7 linked regions of the Coturnix japonica genome follow. The protein of the gene in region 6 purifies or fractionates together with the protein of the main gene of each other region. This does not show direct contact. Links are inferred from orthologs where the notes say so. Each region holds a gene or a part of one and is shown on either strand. Other genes may lie near its edges. The genes, in order: PURA, NCBP1, UPF1, RRP12, DHX57, LIN28A and NOC4L.

Region 1 (4,235 bases), on a different chromosome or scaffold from region 6:
AACTGCGAACACCGACGGGGAGGGCACGGCACGACGGGAACAGCTTTGACACTCACAGTACATCTCCGAAACAAAGGGGGAGGGAGGAGGGGGAAAGGGATTACAGTTTGCAATGGGAATAGCAGACAGCAGAAAACAAACTTCTCTCACCGAGCTCCGCTCTCCCCCTGCGCCCCAGAGCTCCGGCCAACGACTACAGTTGTACCAGTTGTACTGCTTAAGGCATCTTTTGTTTTGTAACACCTTCTCTTCACTCGTCACGATGATAGTCATGCAGCAGTTTAATGATAAAAATATATTAATATTTTACTATACAGCAGCAAGAAGTTAGTCAATGAAAAGCACATCAACTTTAAAAAAGAAAAAAAATAAAATAGGAAAAAGAAAACAAAAATCCACCTGTAAAAATCTATTATTACAAATCATCTCGGTTCGGAGCTCGGCCCGGGCGCGGGGCTGGCGGGGCGCGGCGGCACGGAACGGCACGGCAATGCACGGTAATGCACGGTAATGCACGGCAATGCACGGCACGGCAATGCACGGCAATGCATGGCACGGCAATGCACGGCACGGCAATGCACGGCAATGCATGGCACGGCAATGCACGGCAATGCAATGCACGGTAATGCACGGCAATGCACGGCAATGCACGACCCGCAGCACCGGGCAGCACCGGCCGGCCGGCCCCGCACCGCGCAGCGTCTGAGTGCCCAAAGTACACAGAATAAGAATAAAAACAACGGATTATGAACAATACATGAACATCTCATATACACAACAATGACAATACGCCTACGGAGCTGTAAACCAAACAGGTGCAGAAAAATATTACGGGAGGAAACCCTTCACTTTTCTCTCTCTCTCTTTTTCTTTCTTTCTTTCTTTTTTTTTTTTAATTTTTCCTATTTGAGTAACTTTGGTTCCAACGTAAAAATCACAAGTTTGCAAATTTCATTTAAATGCCTTTTTTAATAATTTTTCTTCATGTTCACAGAAGTTTCACTGACCATTTTTATATGTCGAAGGTCCAGATGCAATGCATATCGTATAAAAGAGAGCACTTATTGTTTACCTTGCATGAATTAAACCTACGTACCTTGTAACTCTACAAACTTCTGCATAACATTTAGACAAAGCTCAGACACACAGCATGCCTAGCCCTCATATATATATACACATCTCTAATCACAGGTATATAGGGTGTCAAATATACTATAGTAACCTCCATGTAAGGTTCGAAATTTGGTAACAAAATGAGAAGAAAAAACTAAAAATATTATTTTACGTGTTCTAAAATATCTCTTTTTTTTTTTTTCTTTTTGTGCTAAAGTCAAATGTTAGCTCAACATGAAAAGGACTTTTTATATAATTCAGCAATATTATAATCTTGACCATTTTTGCAAACACTTTTAATAATAATAGCTTAAACGTGTACAAAAGTTCTCGGTTAATTAGGGAAATAAACACTCAGTTCTTTATATTTTTAATCAAGTAGGAAACACAGTTCATATATAATGTTATTACTTTTTTTTGACTTTTTGTTTGTTTGTTTGTTTGTTTGTTTTAGCAGCTGCTTACTGTTTGATACGGTGGGAAAAGTGGAGGGACATCCAGCGATGGGTGGCGGGTCGGAGGCGTTGCTGTCGCTCGGTGGAGGCTGCCGGGCGGGGGGTGCTCCGGGGGTGCCGCCCGGGAACGGCCGCGGGCCGCCGCCTGCCGCCCGCGCGGCCGAGAGCAGTCCGAGTCCGCGGCCCCGGCGCCGGGCGGGGCGGCCGGCGGGCGGTCAGTCCTCGTCGGGCTCGTCGGGCTGCAGCAGGGCGCCGGGCGGACCGGAGGCGGCGGCTGCGGCGGCGGCTGCGCTGCCCTCGGCCTCGGGCGGCGGCTCGGGCCCGGCCCCGGAGCCCGCGGGGGCGGCGGCGGCGGCGGCGCGCTTGTCCCGCTGCTTCTCCTGGATCTTCTTCATCTCGTCCGAGTACTTGCAGAAGGTGTGGCCGAACTTGGCCCAGACCTTGTAGGGGACGGTGATGGAGTTGCGGTAGGTGGGCTTCACCTCGCTCACCCGCATGAAGACGCCGTACTTGTTGGAGCCCACGTCGAAGAAGAAGCGCTTGTTGTCCACAGTCAAGGAGGTGCCCTCGGGCAGCTCGGCCGGCTCCTCCTCCACGCCGTAGTCGTCGATGAGCTTGGCCAGCGCGTCGCGGAACTCGATCAGGCCCTGCGCCGGCAGCGCGATGGTCTGGCCCTGCGCGGCGCCCAGCCCCGGGCCGCGGTTCACGGTCTGGCGGACGCGCAGGAAGCGGCCGCGCTGGTTCTCCTTCAGATCCATGTAATACTTGCGGTTCTCCCGCACCAGGAACTCGCTCTTGAGCGCCCGGCGCGGCTCGTCGGCCGCCTGCGCCAGCTCTGGGGGCTGGCTGGGCCCCAGCTGCGCGTAGTGCTCGATGAAGTCGCCCAGGTAGTCGCGGAACTCCACGGCCACGGACATGGACAGCGTCAGGCGGCTCTTGTTGCCGCCGGCGCCCACCTCTGCGATCTTCAGGAAGCGGCCCCGGGAGCTCTGCTTCACGTCCAGATAAAATCGCTTTTTCTGGATGTCCACCCTCTTGGAGGCCAGCTCCTGCGTCTCGTGCTGCAGCCCGCCGCCCGGCCCGCCGCCGCCGCCGCCGCCGCCGCCGCCCGAGCCCGAGCCCGAGCCCGGCCCCCCGCCGCCCGCCGCGCCCCCGCCGCCGCCGCCGCCGCCGCCGCCGCCGCCGCCCTGCTCGCTGCCGCTGTCTCTGTCCGCCATGATGCCGCCGCTCCGCCCGCCGCCGCCGCCGCCGCCGCCCGGCAGCGCCGCCTCGGCCGCCGCTCCGCCGCTCATGCCGCCCTCCGCCCCCCGCGCTGCCGCCCGCGCCGCCGCCTCGGCCGCCCCGGCCGCCGCCCGCGCCGCCGCCGCTCCGCCCGCCGCTCCGCCGCCGCTGCAACAGCCCCCGCGGCCACCAGCCGGCCGCTCTCGCGAGATCTGCGGGAGCGAGGAGAGGGCGCGGGAGGCGGCAGAGAGCGGCCCCCAGAGCCGGCCGAACCGAGAGCGGGAAGCAGCGCCGCGCCGACCGGCGGCCGAACCGCGACACGGAACCGAGCGGGAGCGGACGGCACCGAGCGGGACGGGCGGGCGGGGCCGCGCTGTGCCGTGATACCAAGCGCTATGGAGGGCTATAGAGTGCTATGGAGGGCTGTGCCGTGATACGAGGTGCTATGCCGTGCGGTGCCGTGCGGAGTGACGCTGTGCCGCGCCGTGCTATACCGTGCTATACCGTGCTATACCGTACCGTACCGTGCTATACCGTGCTATACGGTACTATAACGTGCTATACCGTACCGTACCGTGCTATACCGTGCTATACCGTACCGTACCGTGCTATACCGTACCGTACCGTACCGTGCTATACCGTACCGTACCGTGCTATGCCGTGCTATACCGTGCTATACAGTGCTATACCGTACTATACAGTTCTATACCGTACCATACCGTACTATACCGTACTATACCGTACTATACCGTACCATACCGTACTATACCGTACCATACCGTACTATACCGTACTATACCGTACTATACCGTACCATACCGCACTATACGGTACCGCGCCGCCCTCCGGACGAACCTCTCCCCGCTTCCGACCCGGGTCCCTCCCACCAGCCCCGGTTCCCTCAAGTTCCCTCTATCGTCCCGTCGGGGGCGGCTGGAGCGGGACACGCGGTTCCGACCCCTCGGGCCCACCCGTCTCAGTGCGACGCCGCCAAAGGGGACGCGCGACGGCAGCGGCCCCGGCCCCAACGGGCGGCGGAGCGGGCGGGCACGGCCGTGGCCTGGCGCACGTCCGCAGTCGGGCCCCGCTGCCGGCCCGGTGCCGCCGTGTGATTCTTTATCGTGAAGAATCGCGGTTCGATCCGGGCGGCTGCGAGGAGCCTTTGTTCGGAAACCATCGAAAGGACGAGCCCGGCTGGAGGGAACCGGGCGGCCGCCCCTCGCCGCGGCTGAGACGCGGAGAGCGTCCCTCGGTCACCCCGAGCGGAACGGGACGGCCGTTCTCCGGGCTCCCGGCCCACGGAGCGGGGCTCACCGGGGAGCCGAGTCCCGCTGCGGGCGGAGCGCTTCGCGTCTTGCCGTGGAAATCTGTCTCGCCACGAACGCTCCCGGGGCTCCTTTCCCCCCACGGCGGCGCTGCCGGAACCCGACGGGGCAGAACCGCTGC
Region 2 (4,048 bases), on a different chromosome or scaffold from region 6:
TGTAACACTACAACTCCTAATAATGGCAGGGTGGGAAACACCAATATGCATTTAAAGGCATGCAAGCACGTAACAAAACATATAGAACAACCACATTTTCTCTTCCCCAAGTGTAAAACAAACAAACAAACCCACAAATGCCTTCTTAAATGCTGAAGTTGGATTGATCAACTTCTTCATGAGTCCAGAGGTGAACCAGAAATGGCATCATTTAGAGTCTTTCAGATGAGACAAATTTCCATAGTTATTTGTTCATAAACACAGATAGCTACAAAGGGAAAGCTGATGTAAAAGCTGACTGCATTGTCAGGTCTCAGAAAGGTGAGCAAGGCTAGGAATCAGCCTTGGCAATGAAAACATTCCTCATGGCAGGAATACATCATTCATTTGGAGGCATACTAACAAGAAATCCAGACCGGCATAAATGGCAATTTAAGTAGAAAAGGTTTGGGGTACTACAAAAAGTTTTGGGAACATGTTATAGTGGGAACTGTTCTCTTCTTTCTTCCCTCATCAATGGGCTTTAAAAGAAGCAGTGTAGCTTGCAACTGGTCTTCTCTCTTATAAGATCTCTGAAGTGAGAGCTGAGCAAGTGGCTTCAGAGAAAGCACTAACAATTGTCTGCTTTCTCTGACTACCCCTCTTTGGGGGACAAATAACACAGGCCTGGTAGCAGTCATGAAACACTAGTTTTAAGACTGAGCCTTTTTTTCCCCTTCCATGGGAGCCAAAAGAGCAACTAATACAAAATATCAAAAAGCATGAGTTTCATCCACTTTTTATACTTTGCTGCAGAAAAGGCTGGCAAGAGCAGAATGACCTCCCTTGGCTGCAAATTAACTTGCAACTGAGGAAATACACATTTGAAACACAGTCTGCAACTGTGACATGATTTTTCTCCCCTTGGGAAGGAAGTACTCCTCATATAACATACAATTCCTCTCAGTTTATCTACATAAAAGCAAGCATCAATGAAATTTAAAGACTGTAATACATGTAGAAAGGCCAAGTTCTCATGGAAAGGTGAAAGGGAGGAAAGAAAAAAGGTGAGGAAAACATCTAACACAAAGAGACACTTACTAAATGCACAGCTTCATTGTACATATTGACTTTCAGACATTCTTTAAGCTGACGAATCATGGCTTCTACAAATTCCCCACCAAAGTTGTAGTTCCTGGCATTCAGCAACCCAACTAGTGTTGTGTAAACAGTAAGCTTTTCTGGTAACAGACGTGCACTGACACAGAAAGAGAAACACAGCGTTAGCACTTATTCATCATAAACCAACCAACAACAGCATACCAGCCCAGAATTTGCTTATAGTAAGCTAAACTTGTTTCATGTGGAAGTAACAAAAAACATTAACATAATCTGTAGTTGTTCCCATGGTTAATGCTTTCAGACTGTTTCTTTTTCTAGGAGGGAGGATTACTTTTAGGAAAGCAGATGTCACTTGCAACTAATTTAAGTAATTTGCTTTTTATTTATTTCTAATTTCTAAGTGTCCTGGAGATGGGGCTAAGTAACGTGATAGAATTTATTCAAAGATGCAAAACGCTCTTTTAAGACTACACAAGATTTACACATTTTACACTGATAAATTTGATCCTAAGTTTCTTCAGTCAAAGCAATTGATTTAGGGAGATTGTAGGGAAAAAACAGAAAATGGTGGGTCCTATTGTAAACAACTAGCTTTCCTCAACCTTTTTTGCATACCTGTAGACTAACTCTATATTTTCAAATACATTTTACCACTATAGGGAGTGACTGGAGTGCTGCCAGCAGCCCCTCTGTGTTCCCAAGGATGGGCTCATTAATCAGCACCACCACATGCCCAGAGCAGAGGAACAGGCCACAGGAAGGCATCACAAGCAAGAGGTACTGGCAGCCTACAGGTTCAATGCCTCTATTTCTTTGGGGGGCAGTGTGTTACCCAGCATTGTGCTTTTGCTGCTGCTGGGCAACAGTGCTGATTCTCTTCTGCTTGAAGCCTTGTATACATTTCAAGTTCACATACGGCAAGGAAATATTTTCCTTAAATTACCCCCAGAACTCAGTGAGTTCATCCCTTCTATTTCTTCTGTTTGTAGGAAAGGTAACAACAGTTGAGAACTAAAAAACCACCACAGAATGCTCAGATTGCCTCAAACACTCCAATGTTTCCAATGCAAGGAAAGCAAGCACCTCTCAGTCCCCCCCAGCCTGCATACGTACACAGTACACAGAATTCTTAGTATCTTGCTTTTGTAATTTGGCAGATCAGCTTCCAACACACCAGCTAGGCCCTCCAAGTTGCTCTCCAGGGATGAATTACTCTACAGAAGGCAAAATAAAGGAAGAAATAAAGAAATGCTGCAGCATCAACCAGACAACACTTAGTCTAACAGCGCCCATTGAATACAGCAGTACACCAGCCCCGCTCCGTGCGCCACGCGGCCGCCGTTGTGTCCTACCTTCTCCCCCACTCTGCAGATGAGCGACTCGAGCCTCTCCTCGATCTCGGACGGCTCCGACGTCCTCCGCCTCTTGTGGGGCTGCCCTGCTCCACACAGCGACCACACCGTTAACCGCCCAGCCTCTCACCTGCCGCCCACCCATCCCACCCACCACAGGGCCACGCAGGGAGAAGCGTGGGGGCACCCATCGCTCACCATCGCTGTCATCGCTATCATCGCTGTGTCTCCGCCGCGACATGGCGCTGAGTGACGAGCACACACCGGGCCGCGCCGAGCGGGACTCAGCCGACCGCGCTCCTTCCCCGCCCGCTTCCGTCGGCCTCGCCTCCACTTCCAGTTCCGCTTTCAGCCCCACAGCTCTTCCGGGGGTGGGGCCGAAGGAGCAAGATGGCGCCGGGCGAGGCGCAGACGGAGGCTGTATCTCGGTGCAGCGCTGCGGCTCAGGCGGCCGCCGCTAGGAAACAGCGTGCCTCCGCCAGAAGGAAGGTACGTAGGGTGGGCACGGGGCGCTGGGGCTCCAGGCCGCCTGTGGTAACCGGCCGCCTGTGGTAACCGGCCGCCTGTGGTAACCGGCCGCCTGTGGTAACCGGCCGCCTGTGGTAACGGCCGTCTGCCTTGCAGGCGTTCTCCCTGTTCGTCAAGGCCAAAGAGGTGCCGGCCGCCTACCCGTGCAGCGGGGCGGCCGTGTGGTGGAGGTGCTGCCGGCAGACGTTCCGTGAGCGCCGTGGTATCCATCGGCACGTCGGTACGCAGCACGGCGGGGACGTGGAGCAGCAGGCGGCAGGGCATGGCACCATCAGCAGGGCGGTGTGTGCTGAGCGGGCGGGAGGACAGGCCTGTGGAGAGCTCTGCGAGGTGCTGCCCGACACCAGCGGCCTACGCAGCGACGAGCTGACCAGGTAAGGCCGGTGTGGCTTATGCTCTATGCACGAATATGTACTCTTGCTTTCTATTTTGCTACAGGAACCTGAGAATAGGAGCTATAAGTTTTCAATGGAATGTGTTGAGTTGCAATGAGATACTTACATGCATAAACTGACAATAGCAGGACTCGGGGAAATGGTTTTAAGTTGAAAGAGGGAAGATTTAGGTTGGATGTTAGGGGGAAGTTCTTCACTAGGAGAGTGGTTAGACCCTGGAACAGGCTGCCCAGGGAGGTTGTGGATGCCCCGTCCTTGGAGGTGTTCAAGACCAGGTTGGACGGGGCCCTGGGCAACCTGATCTAGTAAAGGCGTATGTTTGGTGGCCCTGCCAGGCAGGGGGGTTGGAACTACATGATCCTTGAGGTCCCTTCCAACCCGGGTCATTCTGTGATTCTGTGATATAAACTATTCTATACATTTTATGAGGACTGCTCCAGAATTAATCCCTAGCTTGTCATGCAGCCTCTTGTTCATCATTAGTGAAATGTGTAGCTAATGCTGGTGGCAATGCTGAAAAACAGTGTTTTTTAGGTGATAAGTTGTTCTAATAGTGTTATTGTGCTCTTTGCGTGGGCTGTATTTTCTGAGAGTATATAGGAGGCCTTAATTTTGGATCAGCCTTACATATATGTGGCCCAAGATGATTCTGCTTCAGTCAGTCTAGCTCAG
Region 3 (3,500 bases), on a different chromosome or scaffold from region 6:
AAACTTCTAAAAATTCAGTGCTCCTTTGAAAGAATCTCTTTAAAACCACCTTGTCACGAAAGACCCATTCAGAATGTGGGCGGCACGATGACACCAGGATTTCAGAGCCAGCGCTGGACAACAAAACCTCCATCTCAGAGTTGAGCATCAGCTACGTTCCATTGGATTTCTGCTCGGCCTGCTGTCAACTTAAGAACTCCCTTCTCAGATACTCTGCTTCTAAAATGTAAACAGTTACTGCTAAAATATAGTACCCCTTGAAAATGAGAACAACTCTGAGATGAGGGTTTTCCTCTCCCCATCTGCTCTGAAAAGTAATGCCCCGCTCGCAAAGAGAAGTATGGAATGAAGTGAAACCTGCTTAAGGCCCTTCTCTCGAGCTTCTTGGACTGGGGGAGCAGGGACTCGGCTGACCACTCATTGCAGGGTGAGTTGCCTTCCCCGTGAGGCGCCAGCCAGTCCGTCGTTGCTCTCTCTCCTCTCCGGTCGGTCTCCTTGTCTCAGTGAGCTAGCAGTGGGCTCTCTCGCGCGCGCTCCTTTCTCTCTTTCTCTCTCTCTTCTCTCCGTTGGTTGGTTTCTTTCTCCTGTTGCTCTCACACAGTGGTGCTTCAGTTTTAGCAGTGGAAAACAGGTATCCATTTTATTTTATTTTTTTTATTACCCAGAATAAAATGCTGATGAACTAAGCTCCACGCAAGCTTAGCTCTTCTTCCTCAACCTGAAAGCGAGAAAGCAAAAAAAACAAAACAAGAGCTGCATTAGGGCTGTCAGGAGAGAAACAGTTCTCTAGTGCTCACACTGGGGAGTAGCAGCAGAGGGGGGACCTCAGAGCCTTACACTCTAATACTGTGACAGTCCCGTCACTCCGCCATGTTGATACGCGCGTTCCCCCTGGTAGGTGGAGTCCTGTGACAGCGCCACGTCAATCTGAGACTTGAACTCATCACCAAGGTAACTGTCCTGGAAACGAGAGTGTGTGTTAAGCAGCATCGAGCTCCAGTGGTTCCTCACAGAGCAGCCACTGGTAAAGAAAAAGTGACTTTTTGTTTTGTTTTCGCTTTTAAAGTTCACCCCCGATGCCATACAGCTTTTAGCAGTACGTGGCAGCTGAAGGTTAAGGCTCAAAGTGAGGTTGGAACATGCAGCACTGAATTCTTTATACTTAATGAAGCCCACCAAGTAGAAGGTCAGAAATGCTGGGGCCAAATTAACTTAAGATGGTTTAGTTTCTACCGTCCTCAGTTCTAAGGAATGGAGATGTGCACACAAACAAAACACTAACATAAAACCCAGGAAAAAGGGCAGGACTGTACATCGCTCTCCTTACCTGTGATAATTCTGGTTGGGAGAGCCCAGGCTGACTCATCTGAGATGGCTGACTCATGGAGATATACCCCTGAGTCAGTGGACCCTGGGAGAAAGGCTGGGACACCACGTCTTGGCTCGCCTGGCTATTGGGAAGGTTTGACTGACTCGCTCCAGGAATCCCAAATCGATTTTTCTGGCGCCCACCACGTCCAGTCTTCCCTTTGGGTGCCCCACGTCCTGGAAAGGCATTTATCCAAACCAACAGTGAGAAGCTTTACAAGCGTGTGAAAATCAGATGCTTCTATAATGACTTGTTGACTCACTTAAAGCAACATTTCATGTTGTACTCAATGTAGAAGGTGCAAAGAAATACAACAGGCTTATTATCAAATCACATCTTACTCTCATCAGGACCAAAACCATTATCTCACATCAGACTCACACCATGGCTTTGGCACTGCCCTCCCCAGCCCCATACCTGCAGCCGGGCCGTTGGCCTGCCCAAAGTACCCCGGAGGTGGCATTGGGGGCATCACGAGGTTGAAGGGGATAGGAATGTTCATAGCAGTGACGTGGCTGGGGCCTGCGCTGATCATCCCGATCTGGTCGTGGGTTTGGAAGTACATGTTGGATGGGCGCCCTGGAGAGGGAGAAAGTCACAGTGATTTCAAGCATCCTGAATAATCTGAGATTCATATTCCTGCTTTTAATGGTAACGGAAGGACTTCAAGCAGGAAAAATAACATAATCAGAAACCAGAAACTGAAAGGACAAGCCTAACACTGCCAAGAACCTCTGGGATTTCTACTTCCCTATTTATTCCACACTTCCAAGGCTCAAAGAGACATAACGTGGTCACCCCATCCAATCACTCTTCTATAGCGCTGTTCATGATTCCCACAACACTGACACACACACCCCCTTCCTCTTCACCTGCTCTGCAGATATGCAGTTAAACCACACAGGTTACTGCAACGTTAAGGACAGCAAAATCCTCCTTAAGTATTCAGACATCAGAAGCATTTTCAGTTTTTAACACCCACATTTTTCTGTAGCATCTCCTCAAGCATTTAAACATTTGCAGTCTATGAGACACTGCAGAAGACTAGTGAATGGTGTTAATGCTGGAAGCTTCTTTACCTTGACTGCTCCGGTCATAGACAGATCCTGGAATAATAGCTTCACGTGCATCATACATGGCAGTGGTCATGAAACGGGCACCCTGAAAGAATTGAAGGAGTTGGACAAAGGTTTAGCACCGAGCTGTACACTGCAACCTGACTGTAAGGCAAGTAAAAACTCAGAGAAACCATCACAGATAATGTTTCTAATACATGAAAAACATCCAGCTGTCATCCCAACCACACGCTTACAATTCTCAACGTAAAAACCTTACAGAACAATTGTATAATGAGCTTGCTAAATCTACACAAAGTAATTATTACATGTTTCATGCATCTCAGAAGTTATCCCATTGTACAGTTTTACAGTGAATAAAGACAAGCTGCTCCACTTAGAAACCGCAGCTTACTTTGCCACTGCCCATTTACTAGGCAAGAAGTGGAAAGATACAGCTGTGAGGACACATGGGTGCCTGTTTATTCCATCAATTTATGATTATCAATGCCCAGTTACTTCACACCACAGGTATCTGAGGAACGGGAAAGGCCAACTTACTGGGTTGATAGTATTGACAAGTTTTCGGGGCTTGCTGAATTGCATGAGGCTCTCCCGGAGGTTATTCAGTGGTCCCTCCACCAGAACCTTCTGCTCCTTGTAGTAATTCAGCAGGTGATTCCAAAGCGGTTGTTTAGACAGAGCTTTTGGGTTCCCAACAATAATTACCCCATACCTATGGAAGAATTGACAATCAAACTCATTCTAAGGAAAGAAAAACTGTAACTATGGCTGCTAAGACAGAAAAGAGTGAGTGAAGGGAAGATGACTTCTGTCCTGAAGGCAAAGAGGAAGAGCATGCTGGATTCTGCACACTTCCAATACAAAACAGTAACGCTGACTGATTTAAGATTGAATGATTTCCATATTCCCTTCAAGGCTCACTCAAACCAGGCAGAGGAACGGGTTTACCACCCACAGAACACAGCCCTTAGTAGCTCGTTTCTAAAACGAAATCTGTTCAATTTCACCTTACCTTGCTCTTGTAAGAGCCACATTAAGACGCCTGGGGTCAT
Region 4 (4,014 bases), on a different chromosome or scaffold from region 6:
GGCCGAGAAGAGACGGGGCAGGTGAGCCCAGCACAGGTCCTTCTGCAGTCTGGAGAAGGGACAGAACAACAGTGAGAGATTGAGCTCAGTCTCCCCCCAGCCCAGCGCCAGCCTCTCCCCACCTGCCCAGGTTGATGTGTGCCTTCTCCATGGTAGCCAGCCAGGTGAGCAGCGGCTGCAGGTCGTTGGCATTGGGCACGTAGTCATACAGCGCCTAGGGAAGAAAAATGGTGCTGAAGACAGTGGTGCCAGTATAGCCCCATCCCTCCCTACCCATCCCTGCACTCACGGTGATGATCTGGGCGTTGAGCTCGGCTGGCATGCAGGACGTTCTGGGCTGAGCACTGAACAGGCTATGGAAAGCCTGCATGGCACACGCTGTCACCAGCTGCAAGGACATGTGGTCAGGAGAAACAAAACCTCTGTGCTTTGCAGTCCTACCCCAAAGAGTGTTCTACCCAACCCACAGGGACACCCCATCTCCAGTGGAGCTCCCCATCTATGTCCCCCTCCTTCTACAGCAGCCAGCCAGCCGGCTCTGCCTGGGATGCTCTGATTTCAGGTCCTGCAGATTCCCAACAGAGCAGCCTAATGCCTTCCAGAGCTGAGGTGGAGGCACTGGCACAAGCACTACGTGCAAGGACACAGGGGAACTGACCACATGGCTGAGGGTCATGACTCTGAGCAGGGTCTCGCAGCACGTCTTCAGCACAGCCGCAGGGAAGCAGGGCAGCAGGTCCCGCAGGAGGGCCAGCACGTGCAGTGTGGTGGTAGCCTCCTTGGTGCCTGGTGGAACAGAGCAGCACCCATACTTGTAACAACAGCCTTGAGCAAAGACCCCATGTCAGAGCTGGGGTGAACTGAAGCCCCACTCTGGGAAGAAGGGAACAGACAGACGACTGAAAGCTCTCCTAAACTCTTGCAAGACCTTTCTCCCTGCTGTCCCTACCTACCTCCAGCTTTTTCAATCTCCTGCACGCAGAACTTGGCACTGGAGGGCGCCGCAGGATGGTGCTCAGGAGCCTCATCTCCAAACATGAACTCGCTCCCCCTCAGGACTGAGCACACACCGTGCTGAGCTGCTTTCCGAACCTGGGGGTGGATGAATATGGGGGCATAGAAACCATATGCACAGGGAGCACAGCCAGCCCCAGAACCAAGCCCTGGAACAGCACCCACATGTGCTGAAAACCCACCTTGGGTTTGGTATGAACACAGAAGCTCAGCAAGCCGTGGTAGACCTGGAGGGTGACAGGGTAGCTCCAGGCTGCCAAATCCTGTTTTCGTAGCAGAGTGGCCAGGCATGAGAGGACCTACAAGAGGACAGCAAGGATACTGGTATTACCTTACTGAGACCACCCTCAGTCCACCAGAGAGGCTGCCCCTCCCTGCAACTCACCCATCGCAGTGCAGAGGTGGAGCCGCTGCAGGCCTGTGAGGATATGATACTCATGAAGGCTTTTGAAGCATCTGAAAACTTCTTTATGAGTACCGGGCTGGGGACTCTGTGGGGAAAAGGGTTAAATGGCAGGCAGTCACACAGGGATTCGCACACACAGCCTGTCCCTCAGACTGTGCCAGACCCCATCCTGCCGGGGCAGCCCTCCCCACTCCCTGCCCTGCTCACCGCTTCAAGACAAGGTTGAGCAAGTAGGCAACGGCAGCCACTGACTCAGGGGAATCCACCGCCTCCAGCGTGGTCATCTGGAATACAGGAGGGGTTTGCAGCAGGAGAATTTGCAGCAGACCAGCCTTTCCCAAAGCTTTGGGGAAGGGGGCAGAGAAACAAAGGGCAACTCAACAGCATCTCTGCCGGAGGATGCTCAAAGCCTCCAACACAAGCAGAGCGCCATCAAACTGCGGCAGTCACTCACCAGCGCAGCAAAATACTCAGTCTCAGTCTCTTTGCCCCCCTGCGAGTGAATCACATCAGTCACAGCTGCCAGCACGGCACAGATCTGTCACGACAGCGAGCAGAGCCCTCAGCATCCTCGGATTGTTGCCCCAGGAGCCCAGGGCCAGCCCTGATCCTGCTGGTACCTCTTTGTGTGCGGCAGAGTTGGACTCCCAGAAGCGCTGCACTTTGCTGAAGGTGACATTGGTGCAGTCGCTCAGCCCGCTCAGGAAGGTGCCCGACGACCTCTCGGTGGCGGCCTCGCCGACATCACCCTCCTCCATGGGCAGCTGAGAGCTGCCGCTCGGCCGCTCCACACACAGCGATCCTGACTGCAGCTCATTGTGCAGCTTCACCGCGTCCACCGTCAGGTTGCTTTTCTCTGCCGGGTGAGAAGCCCCACGGTCAGGCTGTCCCGTATCACCACCACCCTCTGCTCCCGGTATGAGACACGGACATCGCTCCTCCCATAGGATTAGCACGGAGCAGCGTGGCACTGAGGTTCGGATGTGACTCAGTGCACAGCGGGGCAGGCCCATGCAGCGCTGCCCATATAACTGTGTGCCCATCGCGGCCGGGGCCTCGATGCAGCGACTGGCAGCCAGGAGCGGCAGGACCCCGCTGAGCTTTAAGGCCTTTCACAACCCTGCGCCGCCCCCCCCCATGTTCCACGTCCCACGTCGCCCCCCGGTCCCGTTCCGCTCACCGGCCGGCCGGCTGTAGAAGCGGCTTCTCGCGGCCAGGCGGTGCCGCCGTGTCTCGGGGTTACAATCGCTGCTGTGCCCCTTCCTCCATCGCCGCACCTTGGCGGCGGTTCCTGCCCTCAGTCTCCCGCACCGCGCCATGCCGGTCCCGGCTCCACGTGCCGCCCCTTCCCGCCGTACTTCCGCTTCCGGCGCCCGCCGCCATTTGCAGTGAGGGCAGCGACGCCCGCACCGCGGTGACGTCACCGCCCGAAGGTCGCGCCGCCCTTCGCGGCCCCGCCATGCGCTACGTGCTCCGCCGCCCGCCGCCTCCCTCGGGCTGCGCATGCGCGCCTCGCACTGCCCGGCGCGGGGCGGCGTGGGGCGGGTCAGTTGCGTGCGGCGGCGGCAGCGGGAGGAGCGGGGTGGTTGTAGAGCTCCAGCTGCCATGGCCGCGTACCGCCTCGTGCTCGTCCGACACGGCGAGAGCGCGTGGAACCTGGAGAACCGCTTCTGCGGCTGGTACGACGCCGACCTCAGCCCCGCCGGGCAGCAGGAGGCGAGGCGCGGCGGAGAGGCCCTGCGAGGTACCGGCGGGTGGGGGGGGCTGCGGCGGCCATTACGGGTGTCGGTCATTTCATTACGGGTGTCGGTCATTTCATTACGGGTGTCGGTCATTACGGGTGTCTGTCGGTCATTACGGGTGTCTGTCGGTCATCTCGGTGTCGGTGCTGACCGGCCGTGCCCGTTATGTAACGGCGCGATACTGAGCGGCCTCTGATCCCCCCCCCACCCCCGCTGTCCTCAGACGCCGGCTATGAGTTCGATATCTGCTTCACGTCGGTGCAGAAGCGGGCCATCCGCACCCTATGGAACGTGCTGGACGCCATCGACCAGATGTGGCTGCCCGTGGTGCGGACGTGGCGCCTCAATGAGCGGCACTACGGGGCCCTGACCGGGCTCAACAAGGCCGAGACGGCCGCCAAGCACGGCGAGGCCCAGGTGAAGATCTGGAGGCGCTCCTTCGACATCCCCCCGCCGCCCATGCAGTCGGACCACCCCTTCTTCACCGCCATCAGCAAGGTAAGGGGCTGCTAGGAGCATGGGGAGCCTTGTGCCGTGGGCCTCCCACGCTGCCCTTCGCTCTCCGGTTGCAGCATCGGTGACAGGAGCTGGACCGAGGCCATGCCGTGCTTTCCCTGCAGGGGATGAACCCCAAGGGATGGCACGGAGTCAAGGGGAGATGTTAATCATTAGTCCTGCAGTCAGACCTTGGGTGTTTGCTCGGCAGCAGGCACCATGCTATTGCCCCCAGGCAGGGCTGGTAGCTGGAGGCAAATCCCAGCACTCTTTTCTCGTGGGTGCGCAGCTAAAAGCCAGTTTCACTCCTGTTCTCAGTCACCGTTCTCAGCACTCAACCCCTGGTGCCTCATTTCC
Region 5 (3,500 bases), on a different chromosome or scaffold from region 6:
GAAAAACTATAGGTAGGAGGTGGTTTGTTGCAAGGCTGCATCCAGAAGCCCGGCAGAGCTAACAGCTGGCTTTCTGGCCCCATCAAAAGCTGCAGCATTTGGTCAAAGCATCGACATGCTGCAAGTTACCTCTTCTCCTGTGGCATCCAAGACGCCATCGCCTGCTTGGGACCACTTCCTCTCAATGTCCCTGGCTCTTAACCCCTCCTTCACAAACCCAATGTCAGAAAGCAGCTCTGTGAACTGTCTTTTCAGACTGGCAATTTCCTACAAAAAAAGAGAAAGGTCTGTGATGGGAGACCCACTGAGGTAACAGCACCAACAGCTCGCTCAGTTTAGGCACCAGAACTCCACCTCGGTGTCCTCAACCAGTCCCTGCATGAGGCCACAAAAACTGACTTACCTGAAGAACTCTTCCTGATAAGAAGTTCTCCCTGCAGTAGTTGTAGCTTGCCTGAGGGCCCTCTTTGGTACTTAAACGCCATCCCTAATTGAAAAGACAAGAGCAAACTTTGAAGTACTGAACTTCAAGCTGTGATACATCACAAACCTCTGACAGAGGCTAATCATTTTTAGCTCACCTTATAAGCCTGGAGCAGAGCCAGATAGTCACTGTTTCCTACTGCAAAGTCCAACTTCTTTTTGTTTGCTTCTTCCCTTTTATCCCATGGGGACACCTGGAAAGGCAGGGACAGATTAATCTCACAGTGGAACTGCTGCTTATGTTTGCTTTCAATTTTTACACTAAATCTGGACAAAACAGACTGGCTGCACTTAATGTTCATTAACTGTAATAACTGTGTTGTTTCAATGCTTGTTTATAAATACTATTTGTGTTGTTGCTGTATGATTTTCATCATCTACCTGTAACAACTCTTCTGATGAGCACTGCATTAAGCATATAAACAGGGGAGGCTAAGAAGGAGAATAAACACACTCAGGTGCAGCACGCTGCAGCTTACAGCAGCATTCACCGCTGTATGAAAATGCACTGCTTTCAAAGATGGAAATGCAAGTAACAATACTTACAAAGGGTGACTTAAAAGCCAGACTGGCTGCTATTGTGAGCGCAGGATCCAGGCAGCGGAAGATGGTGCCAAACAGCATTAGTTTGCCAATCCTGACATCAACAGGCAGGGAAGCCAAGTGATATCCCAAAGGAGTGAGCTTTTCATCTGCAGTTAACGCTCCTAAGTCTTGCAGACGCAGCTTTGATGCCCGCAAAGACTCAGTTCTAGGGGGCTCAATTAGTCGTGATAAGACAGAGTGAAGGCTCTGTGCAGAAAACATGTCCAGAATCTTAATTCTGAAGGAGGGGACAAAAAACAATTGAAAGCAAAAGAAGGCAGCTTAGTTCCACAGACAGGATGTCACAGAGAGCATTTATCAAAACACCACAAACCTGCTTTCAAGAACACAGCCCCTCGAAGAGGCTCTGTAAAGAGTGATTAAACTCAGGAAGCCATATGAGGATGGGTGACCTCCATCCAGCATCACAGCCAGGAAGAACAGATTCTTACTTATCACACTTCATTTTAAAATGAAGTTTTCTCTGGAAAAAATGTTTTTCTCTTGTTTTGTTTCTTTTTTTGTATAAAGGGGTGCACCAAGTGAGGCAGGAGCAAGAAGGTCTCTTTCATTTAGTACTGGTGTTACAGCAGTGTTGGATCCAGAGTGTGGACTTACTGCACTGTGTCGCTCAGCAACTCCAAGGGAGATTATAGTATAGAGAGATAAACATCTCCTGTGGGCCCAGAGCACAGGAATGCAAATATCTTCTCAGGGGATGAGAGGCCTTTTTCCTAGTGCTAAATAAGAACTAAGTGCTGTGCAAGAAGATGGGAGATCTGAGACATGGTATGACTAGATCTCTGGATGCAGAGGCACTGTGATAATGAGATCAAGAGAACCTGAAACCTCCAAAGCAAGTTTACTGGTTTTGTGATGTTACTAAGGGGGACTAAATTCCTTAATAAGGGCATTTCAGATGCTTCCTCCTGTGGAGGGAGGACACTCTACACAGGGTCTTTCAGGTAATATAGAAACAACAGCTCACCTTAGACAAAGCTGCTCCAGGGGCACTCTTTGTATTTCTGGTAACTGCTGTTTTATGAGCTGATGGTTATAGTGATGGCTAGTGAAAAGATGGAAGCAGACACCTGAGGCTACACGGCCTGCTCGTCCTTTCCTTTGCAGAGCGTTGGCCCTGGACACAAACGTGTCTTCCAGACTTTCCATTCCTTTGCTTGGGTCGTATCTGCAGGAGAGCAAGAAATAGGCTTATATTCACGGGTGCAGGGTGAACAAGCTGGAGCTCCAGCACACAGATGTTGCCAACCTCTATATGGACCTGATTCCCACCCCTGCAGCTGGATCTGGGTCCAGACTGGCTCTCCCTCTCCTAGCAGCTTTCTGCAGATCAAACTCCTTCAGGTTCTTCCCAGCTCTTTGCACAGAACAGGAATGAATCCCAGTACCTTTTCTCTTTCATTTTTCCGGAATCAATCACATAGACCACATCGTCGATGGTGACAGATGTTTCTGCAATGTTGGTAGAGATGATGATTTTGATAACTCCCGCAGGAGGCCGGAGGAACACAGACTGCTGTTCTTCACTGGACAGTGAAGAATGAAGTGGATAAACAACACACCTGGGGGAAAAATAGGAGAGTATGCTGAGCACATCTCTGCTTTTTTCCTCCTGGGAACAGCCTGCCTGTATGCACTTCTGCACTGCCAGTACCAGACAGTGCACACACACATTCAAATTCATGTAAAAAACAGCAAACCTCTCTGCCACATCAAATTTAAGATACACCCTGCGGGAAGGTGGAGAAGTTTGCAGAGGGAACAGATCTCAGAATGGAGCTGAAAAACCAACAACCTGTCTCCTGTGAACAGTCTAGAACATTTGATTTATAACGCCAGATTGGAAAAGATCACTCCAGTCAACCTTGTCAAAGGCATCTGTGTCACTACTGTTTAGACAAGGAAATCCAGTTACACCTCCATGTAGCAATCTGTGATCAAATACAACCACAGTAACAGCTGAAGGCTTCTGAGGGCACATTCTGAAAGAGAACAGTAGCTGAGGTGAAGCTTCCAACAGTCCACCGGACCACGCAGAGTGCAAAGTGCAGAAACTCATCACTGGGATTTCTGAGAACTACAACAGGTACCAAAACAAACACCTTCCATTCTTCTGAGACGACAAGAAAAAATCTAACAGAGCAAGTCAGTAAGACAGCAGAGTGGGAATTCTCTTGTCTGGGTCATATCACAAACTCACACGTTTAATAAACTGTATTTGTCCCTTGATAAAGGCAGATTTCATGCTGGAAGCTACTCTCTTTTTTTTTTTATAATGGGTAAAGACGTCACCTGGGAGCTGTTGTGCCTTACCTCTTGCTGTGCCTGTTATTAAAAAGGGCATTGGACTGGAGCTGCTCATAAAGCATCTTGATTTCTGCTAGACCAGGCAAAAATATCAACACAGCACC
Region 6 (3,997 bases):
GGCAGTGAGAATCACACCTGCTCTGGGCTCCCCAGTGCCACCTCATACCCTAAATTGTCCAGTGCCCAGTGCTTGCTGCCTTCTAAGCACACCAAACTCTGCTCTGGTCTCCAACAAATGGGGAGTGCCAGGAGGACACCCTGTTCGTCCTCTTTTCCTGCAGGAATGTGAGCGAGAGCAATCAGGAAACCAGACTGTCTGGGGGCAATAAAGACTGAGGAGAGGGGCAGGAGGGAGGGAGGCTCCCCCCCACTGACACAACACTGACATGCAAAGACCCATTTGCTGCCCCTGGGGAGCACCTGGAGCTCAGCATTCCCTGGCAGGTTTGGAGACCTCAGACCCAAATCCAACATCACTTCTGCACAGCGGCTTCTACAAAGAAGGGGTTCGGTTCTCCCCTATCCCTCTGGTTGCCAAGGGAGGGCTGAGAGGCCCTCAGGATCCATCACCAGCACAATCACTCCATCCCCATCCTGCCTCCAGCCAAATGCACAAAAACCATCCGAGTTTACTCCAAAGACATCCTTATCCCCCGTGCTCATACTGCCTCCCATCCCCAACAGCTGCTGCTCTCCCTGGAGGAGCAGAAGCCCATGTTCAGTGCACAGCCCCGTTGCCAAGCACCCAGCACTGAACTGTATCTCCCTCCCAGCAATGCCCCCATGACCCCAGTTCAAACTCCATCCCCAGTCCCATTTCCCCAAACCCTCCACACGGTCCCCACTAGGGCTGGATCCGTTCCCCACCTCTGAAGTGGCTTTGAGTAGCCATAATCCCAAAGCTGCAGTTTCCTTTGGTGCAGGACACCAGCAAGATATGCACGGGTCAAACCCGGACACGAGACCACAGTTACGGTATGGAAACCATAGAGGCACATGTGTGACCCCATGTGCTTTGTGCCATGCAGGATGAAGTGCAGCCCTAACCTGCTGACAGAGAGCTGGGCACATTGTAGTGGGACTTTGCCCCCCAAAACACAGCAGAGGAATCAAGCGCATGTCATCACAGTACTGATGGTTTTGTTTCCCTGCTTCCCAGGGATGAGCATCCCGGGGCTCGCATGGACTGAACCCCCACCCTTTGAGGATGAGATGGGGAAAGCCCCATCTTGCATCCCTGCATGGGGCACTGAGCACCCTATATGAGGCAGTGAGGGAAACACAGCTCTATCCCCTTTCCCTCCCTGGGGTGAGCAGCATCCCTGCCCCGCTGTGCCCTATGTACCCCTTTTTTTCACTGAATGGGCACCTGCTCCTCTGTACCCAGCCCTCCAAAGAGCTCCCCAGTGAACCACCACGAGAAAATTAAATGATCCCAAGGATCAGTTTACGGGGTTGCTCCCTGGAGAGCGATCCAAGGGCTGCACTGCCCTTCTCTGCCCTCCTCTCACAAACATGGGGAATCCCATCACCCCCAGGACACCAATTTGGGATGGCAGTAGAGGCACGGAGATCTGAAGGGCAGAATGCTGGGGCTGCACCCCACCGCCTCCAACCCCAAACCAGCTGCAGCATACCTGGTGCACGAAGACATCGACGGGTGAGTCCAGCGTCGCGCCACCCTTGGCTGTCATGGAGAGGAAGCCGAAGCCCATGCGGACGTTGAACCACTTACAGATGCCGGAGCCATGCAGGGGTTGGGAATCATTCTCGGCTTTGGGTGAATCTCCAGCCAGCTCCTCGCCCGGCTTCGCACCTGGGGAGAGAGCCAGCGAGCACCTGAGTGGGGCTGGAGGGGGTCCCACACCCCTCTGCCCCCAGGGAAGGAACAGAAAGAGCCCAAGTTTGGGTCCTGCTGGATGGGAAAGGCAAAAAAATGACCGCGGTGACCCAAAAGCGGCGATCCGCTGCGCCCACGTGTGTGCGTGTGGGATCGCAGGGGACTGCAGGGAGAGCGGGGGTGGGAGCGCTGGGGCCGTTCTCCAGTCCAAAGTGTTTAAGAAAAAAAATAAATAAATACGTAAATAAAAATAAAAAAGAAGAATAATTGAAAAAATAATCCAAATAAAGCAGCCCAAAATGCATCACTAGGAAAAAAATAAAAATAAAAATTAACGACGGTGATTTTTTGTTTTGTTGGTTTTGTTTTTTTTTTTAAAGAAAAACTAAAGGATAAAGGAAAAAAAACCAAAACAACAAAAAATCGGAAAAACTCCCCCAAAACACCGACCCGACCCTCCTGCCCCAGCACGCCGCGCTGCGATGAGGATTCCCCGCAGCACCGGGAGCTCTGCTCCCCACTGACCCCAGCCCGACAGCCCTCAGCTCCTGCGCTCAGTCCGGGGCTGGGCTGAAAAAATTCCCCTCACGCCGGGCCCGGGACACAGCGGGGATCAGCGGGGCTGGGGGGGTCCCAGACCCCCGTCGGGCTCTGCCGCCGTTATTAATAATCGCGGAGCCGAGGAGGGCTGCGACAATAATATAACTTAACCTGCAAACTGCTGGTTGGAAACAGACCCCATCCCGACACTCGCTTGCGGTTGTGGCTGTTACCGCCTCCTCCCTCCTCCTCCTCCTCGGGCAGCTTTGAGGGTATCAGCCCAAAAAAAAAAAAAAAAAACAACGAAAAAAAAAAAAAGCAACAAAAAAGGCCGGCTTAGACCCCGACGGGAGGGAGCCGGGAGAGGTTTGACTCCATCTTCACTCCAACAATAGGGGTGGGAGGGAGCGGGAGGGTTTTTTCAAAGGCTCCCAAATTCTCGCAGACAATAGAAGCCCCCGCTGCCCCCACCCCTCACCCCCAACTCAGGCCGGGACCCACCCGAGGGGCTGGGGGACGCCGAGCCCCGCGCCGCCATCCCGCCCCCACGTGATCCTAATTAACCCCCCCCCCTCCCCACTCCCCCCGGCTAATAGCGACACATTCCGGGAGGGATTTGGGTGGAGGGCGGTGTGACCTCCCCCCCACTGAGGGGCGAGGCCACCTGTCAAGGGGAAGACGCGAAGAGGAGATGGGACCCCCCCCATACCCATACCCAGAACTCGGGGGGGTCCCAACGCCATTTCGCCACCTGAGAGCCGCCCAGGTCGCTCGTGGGTCCGGGCTTTGCAGGGGCTACTGAGGGAAAGCGAGCGTTTTTTGGGGACACCTCGACCTCCCCGCAGCCCCATCCCAACTGCGGCACGCGGGATCTCCCCGAGGCCCCGACTTCGTCCCTCCCACGCGTGGCTGTGGGGAAAGAGGGCCCGGGCCGGGCGGGACAAAGGGCCGAGTGACCGCAGCACCATTTCCGGCGGGAGGACACTGCCCGCGGCCTCCCCGCCCCGCGGGGGCACAGCGCCTCCCGCAGCCTCCGCGGCCCCGCGCGGTGCGGGCGGTGCGTGGGCTGTCCGAGCTCTTCGGCCGCCCCCTTCCCCCCTCCTCGACGCTTCCACGGGAGGTGGATGTGGCATCGTCCACGCTGAGAGCCGCCTCTCCACGCGGGACCACATCATGCGTGGCCTTAATGCGCGGGAAAGGGGCAGTGTACGGAGGCTGAGCATTCTGAATGTCGTGGGGGCACCCACTGAAGGGGGAAAGGATGCGGGGTCCCTCTAGGAGAATCCCGCATGGGGGGATCCCGCGTGGGGGGCGCCGCCTGCCCGAGCGCTACGGAGCTGTCAGTGGTGCTGAAGTGCGCACTGTCCAGGGTTCTGCGCGGCGGCTGTTGCCGCCTTCCTCTTCCTCCTCTTCCTTCTCTTTCTCCTTCTCTTCCTCTTACCCTTCTCTCGCACCTCTCACCGCTGGACCGCTCCACTCCCGGGAGTTCTACGTAGCTCCCTCACTGCTGAGTTTATGGGATGAAGGAAGAAGAGGAGGAGGACAAAGATGGTTTTCCTCTTTGCAAGTGAGGGAAGGAAGGTAGGTGAAATGGACTCGGTGGTTGTGAGGACATGGCCCTAGTGCCCACAGCCAGTTGAGTCTCGATGACCGCATGCATCGGGGATGGGCAGAACAAGCAGTACTACCAGCACTCTGCGGTGTTAATAATGCAGTGATGCTCATAGGTTGTCCA
Region 7 (3,500 bases), on a different chromosome or scaffold from region 6:
GGCTGATCTGTTTTTGTCTTCATCGTAAGTAGAACCTTCAGTATATATGTACCTTTCAGTATATACGTACATACATTTTGCTGCTACTTTTCAGTTGGCCAGAGTCCATTCTTCAACAGTCTCCCGTGTCTGGATTTAATGTAGTCATTGTGCTCGCTGAATTAAGTTTGTTTTCTTATTGAGAAAACTGAATCTAAGAGTGTTACTGCAGTGCTGTAATTCTTCATGTGATGTCTCTGAAGATGCGCCACGCATCTGTCTGGTTTCACAGACTAAAACTGCAGTTCATTATCTGAGTTTGATCGGCAAATCATTATGGATGTATTTTGATCTGTATTCCAGTTTGGCTGAAAGTGATGATTTTTCTCTCCATCTTTATGAATATGGAAAAGGAACATTTGCAGGCTTTTTATAGACGCAGTATCATAAATCTGTTGATAAATTGATGACCTTTTTGCAGACGTGTAATATTGAAATATAAAGCATTTGACGCTCTGTCTTGATGCTGTCAATTCATCATGCCCAGGGAATAAACTAGATATGCAGCTGGTCATAGAGTTGCCATAATGTGTTGTAAAATAAACTAAGAGTAATGCTCAGCGCGTGATATTTAATATCACCCCCCTGGTGCTCATAGTGTTCTCTGGAGAGAGTAACAAGACATGGCAGATGGTTGTACCTTGGGGTGGTTTGGCTGAGCCTTGCAGGTGTAGGGAGCCCTGGGGCTGTGGGATGAGTGGCTGGAAATTGTCATCTCATCCCAGCTCTGCTGACCTGAAGAATGTATCTACACGAGCTGATTGCTGTTAAAAACCTGCATTTCTACCATAAAAGAGAACTATTCTGCACATTTACGTGACAGCAGCTTTATGTTCCCATTACAAGCTGCACCGCTTGCTCTAGTCCTGCAAGTATTACATAAATTTAACACCATGGCACGTGTATTAATTAAACCCACAGAACTACATTAGAAAAATATAATTAAGGTTGCCTGGCCGAATACTCAGAAGTTTATAAAATGACTGAATAAAGACAGCAGTGTGAATGGCCGTGTACAAGAGCTGTGCTTGGCTACAGCAAGTGTCTGGAGTAGTGCCCTGTGTCTGGGTTCAATCACAAACTGATGTGAGATTATTCATGCACTGAATGGAAATGCCCCAAAATTTGTTCCAGACAGCACACAAGACCCCACGTAACTGCTTGAAATCACAATTCATAGCTGTACGATTCCTTTTCATTTCATAGTCCAAAAAGCTGAGGAATCCCACTGGTCCTTAGCCTGACATGCTGGTTGGGTTGATGTCTGCTGGTTCACTTGCTGGAACTCTTGACATTCTGGTGTCTTCTTCCTTCCCCACAGTCACTTGCCAGCGTACCTGGTGGCAGCATTCATAAAGCGCCTGTCCCGGCTGGCCCTCACTGCTCCTCCCGAGGCTCTGCTCATGGTCATTCCTTTCATCTGTAATCTCTTTCGGAGGCACCCGGCCTGCAAAGTGCTGATGCACAGACCTAATGGACCACAAGGTAAGAGGGAAAGGCGGGGACTTCTGTGTTACACCTTTAGGCAGCATGAAGAGCAGGATCCCTGGAGAGATCCTGGCCCCAGATCCTGAGTGTGTTGGTTGCTCTGGGTCCCTGGGTTCCCTCTGGTGTCATGGACACTGCAGGAGGTCTTAGCTCTGTGTCTCTTCCCTTAGATTTGTCAGAAGATCCGTATATTATGGAGCAGGAGGAGCCATCTGAGAGCAGGGCTTTGGAGAGCTCGCTCTGGGAGCTTCAGGTATGTCATCTAACAAGGCACATCTGTGTATGGTAGGTACAGCCTTCTCCCACCCTTGCTGCTTACATGACACAACTTGGCAGCCAGCACTATCACTTCCATGAACCTTCTGACAGACACGTCTTGCAAATGAGATGAATTTCTGGCTCTTCACATCATTTTCTATCCTTAGTGTAAGAGGCAGAGGATTTTAAACACATGAGAACTAGTGCCTGCTAATTAGCACGAGTCTTGTGAGTGCACATCTGGCCATGCAGCTGGAAAGTGGGCTGTTAAGAGCTGAAAGAGTAAATAGTGGCAAATGTATGGGGCTTTCTACTTGCTTTGGAGGGGAGAGAAGAGCATGCTGAGCATTGATGGAACTTGAGTACAGATGGGTCATCCTGTAGAAATGACTTCTAAAATGATGAAGATTGCAGTGTTCACTCTTAACATGGAACATTCATAGGATGGTGTATGAAAGCTGAAATTAGTTGAGTTGCTCCTGGTGACCTTAGTGGCAGGATTATCACTTCCCATTTAAACACCGCAAGGATTTTGTGCAAGGTGGGTGTTGCAGGAGAGAGCGGGAGCTCAGATGCAGCAGTGGGGCTCTGGGAGGTGGCAGAGTTGAGGTGTGTGCTGCAGTAGCTACAGCCAGTGGAGGAATCCATCTGTCTTGGGCTGAATGTGAACCTGGTGGAAGGGTGCTTTAATTATGTCTTAAATGTGGCTAATGCTTCAAGACATACAGATTTTACTGTATGTCTTTAAGCTGTGTAATAACGCAGTACAGCAGACTTGCCTCCTTTGCCAGAATTAATGTTCGTAACCAAGGGGTTTGTTAGGATACCTGTGCATAAAGCCAGGTGGATGTGTGTTACCGTGTGCTCATTAAACTTTCTCCTCTTTATCTTGCAGTCTCTACAAAACCATTATTACCCAGATGTGGCCCAGGCAGCTGCTATCCTCAATCAGTCGCTGTCTGAAATAGAGGATGACATATCAGGGCTCTTGGAGCTCTCAGCTTCTGAGGTAGTATTGCTGTGCTTTTGGGAATGACTATAACAAGAGGAAGGGAGACTGCTTCCTGACTGCAACAGCACTGTCCTGTTGATCAGCCTTGCTGCTGGGGAAGGAGCTAGGTGGACTTTTGGTTGCTTACAGCCAAGGGGAAAATGTCTGTTAAATGGTGGAGCATTTGGCAGCGGTAGCGGCAGGACTGTATTGCATTTAAAAGGTTTACTGTATATTTTATTGTGTTAGGGTGAGTGTTGGTATCAGCCACAGTAAGGGGATTGTACTGAATTTTGTCAATATTTTCTCTTTTTGTAGCTTTTTGATAAAGAAATAAAGAAAACATCTGCTAAAGTGCCGCTGGAGTTCGTGCAAGCGCGAGGTTTGTTTGGGAAGAAAAACGATATCCTTGCAGAGCACTTTGCTTTAGATTGATGCCATCTCTTAAAAACACATCTGCACAGCTGACGGACCTTCAGGACCTGCACCAAACTCACATGTTTTGCTGGACAATTCTGCCTTTGAAATATCTCTTTAAGAGGTGAAAACTGGACTGCCTTCTGAAGGAGCAGCCCTCTTCAGGGACCTTTTCCAGTATCCACATACAGACTTTTTTTCTTTGTGAATGATGTTTTGGAGGGGTTTTCCCTCACAGTATTGTTTTCTGGATTTGTTCACTGTTGGGATCTTGGCCCTTCTTTCCAAAGCTGCTGGTGCTGGCTGA

The links.
Region 1: the proteins of LIN28A (region 6) and PURA purify together in Homo sapiens (affinity purification with mass spectrometry; 3 studies listed by BioGRID and IntAct, with this or other methods). This does not show direct contact. The link is inferred for Coturnix japonica from reciprocal best matches to the Homo sapiens genes LIN28A and PURA.
Region 2: the proteins of LIN28A (region 6) and NCBP1 purify together in Homo sapiens (affinity purification with mass spectrometry; 3 studies listed by BioGRID and IntAct, with this or other methods). This does not show direct contact. The link is inferred for Coturnix japonica from reciprocal best matches to the Homo sapiens genes LIN28A and NCBP1.
Region 3: the proteins of LIN28A (region 6) and UPF1 purify together in Homo sapiens (affinity purification with mass spectrometry; 3 studies listed by BioGRID and IntAct, with this or other methods). This does not show direct contact. The link is inferred for Coturnix japonica from reciprocal best matches to the Homo sapiens genes LIN28A and UPF1.
Region 4: the proteins of LIN28A (region 6) and RRP12 purify together in Homo sapiens (affinity purification with mass spectrometry; 3 studies listed by BioGRID and IntAct, with this or other methods). This does not show direct contact. The link is inferred for Coturnix japonica from reciprocal best matches to the Homo sapiens genes LIN28A and RRP12.
Region 5: the proteins of LIN28A (region 6) and DHX57 purify together in Homo sapiens (affinity purification with mass spectrometry; 3 studies listed by BioGRID and IntAct, with this or other methods). This does not show direct contact. The link is inferred for Coturnix japonica from reciprocal best matches to the Homo sapiens genes LIN28A and DHX57.
Region 7: the proteins of LIN28A (region 6) and NOC4L purify together in Homo sapiens (co-immunoprecipitation; 3 studies listed by BioGRID and IntAct, with this or other methods). This does not show direct contact. The link is inferred for Coturnix japonica from reciprocal best matches to the Homo sapiens genes LIN28A and NOC4L.

The regions. Positions count from the first base shown.
Region 1 is NC_029528.1:15,484,009-15,488,243, reverse strand, and holds the start of PURA (transcriptional activator protein Pur-alpha), read right to left. Parts: upstream 2,801-4,235; 5' UTR 2,786-2,800; coding exon 1,784-2,785; 3' UTR 1,579-1,783; intron 1-1,578. Other genes in the region: translation initiation factor IF-2-like, read left to right, coding at 3,205-4,235. UniProt on the Homo sapiens protein: This is a probable transcription activator that specifically binds the purine-rich single strand of the PUR element located upstream of the MYC gene. May play a role in the initiation of DNA replication and in recombination.
Region 2 is NC_029547.1:62,576,629-62,580,676, forward strand, and holds the start of NCBP1 (nuclear cap-binding protein subunit 1), read right to left. Parts: upstream 2,801-4,048; 5' UTR 2,695-2,800; coding exon 2,652-2,694; intron 2,540-2,651; coding exon 2,454-2,539; intron 2,316-2,453; coding exon 2,215-2,315; intron 1,238-2,214; coding exon 1,081-1,237; intron 1-1,080. Other genes in the region: TSTD2 (thiosulfate sulfurtransferase/rhodanese-like domain-containing protein 2), read left to right, coding at 2,844-2,942, 3,078-3,355. UniProt on the Homo sapiens protein: Component of the cap-binding complex (CBC), which binds cotranscriptionally to the 5'-cap of pre-mRNAs and is involved in various processes such as pre-mRNA splicing, translation regulation, nonsense-mediated mRNA decay, RNA-mediated gene silencing (RNAi) by microRNAs (miRNAs) and mRNA export.
Region 3 is NC_029543.1:2,798,394-2,801,893, forward strand, and holds part of UPF1 (regulator of nonsense transcripts 1), read right to left. Parts: coding exon 3,461-3,500; intron 3,161-3,460; coding exon 2,986-3,160; intron 2,531-2,985; coding exon 2,449-2,530; intron 1,949-2,448; coding exon 1,787-1,948; intron 1,546-1,786; coding exon 1,328-1,545; intron 961-1,327; coding exon 841-960; 3' UTR 838-840; intron 719-837; 3' UTR 1-718. UniProt on the Homo sapiens protein: RNA-dependent helicase required for nonsense-mediated decay (NMD) of aberrant mRNAs containing premature stop codons and modulates the expression level of normal mRNAs.
Region 4 is NC_029521.1:19,507,112-19,511,125, reverse strand, and holds the start of RRP12 (RRP12-like protein), read right to left. Parts: upstream 2,801-4,014; 5' UTR 2,740-2,800; coding exon 2,601-2,739; intron 2,277-2,600; coding exon 2,041-2,276; intron 1,959-2,040; coding exon 1,875-1,958; intron 1,705-1,874; coding exon 1,628-1,704; intron 1,506-1,627; coding exon 1,400-1,505; intron 1,314-1,399; coding exon 1,197-1,313; intron 1,093-1,196; coding exon 954-1,092; intron 787-953; coding exon 659-786; intron 389-658; coding exon 290-388; intron 215-289; coding exon 123-214; intron 50-122; coding exon 1-49. Other genes in the region: PGAM1 (phosphoglycerate mutase 1), read left to right, coding at 2,924-3,164, 3,386-3,660.
Region 5 is NC_029518.1:14,410,436-14,413,935, forward strand, and holds part of DHX57 (putative ATP-dependent RNA helicase DHX57), read right to left. Parts: intron 3,500-3,500; coding exon 3,403-3,499; intron 2,652-3,402; coding exon 2,478-2,651; intron 2,258-2,477; coding exon 2,057-2,257; intron 1,307-2,056; coding exon 1,030-1,306; intron 678-1,029; coding exon 582-677; intron 488-581; coding exon 404-487; intron 268-403; coding exon 130-267; intron 1-129. UniProt on the Homo sapiens protein: Probable ATP-binding RNA helicase.
Region 6 is NC_029538.1:209,644-213,640, forward strand, and holds the start of LIN28A (protein lin-28 homolog A), read right to left. Parts: upstream 2,801-3,997; coding exon 2,764-2,800; intron 1,942-2,763; coding exon 1,520-1,941; intron 1-1,519. UniProt on the Homo sapiens protein: RNA-binding protein that inhibits processing of pre-let-7 miRNAs and regulates translation of mRNAs that control developmental timing, pluripotency and metabolism.
Region 7 is NC_029530.1:2,106,340-2,109,839, reverse strand, and holds part of NOC4L (nucleolar complex protein 4 homolog), read left to right. Parts: coding exon 1-24; intron 25-1,360; coding exon 1,361-1,524; intron 1,525-1,697; coding exon 1,698-1,780; intron 1,781-2,680; coding exon 2,681-2,794; intron 2,795-3,094; coding exon 3,095-3,211; 3' UTR 3,212-3,500.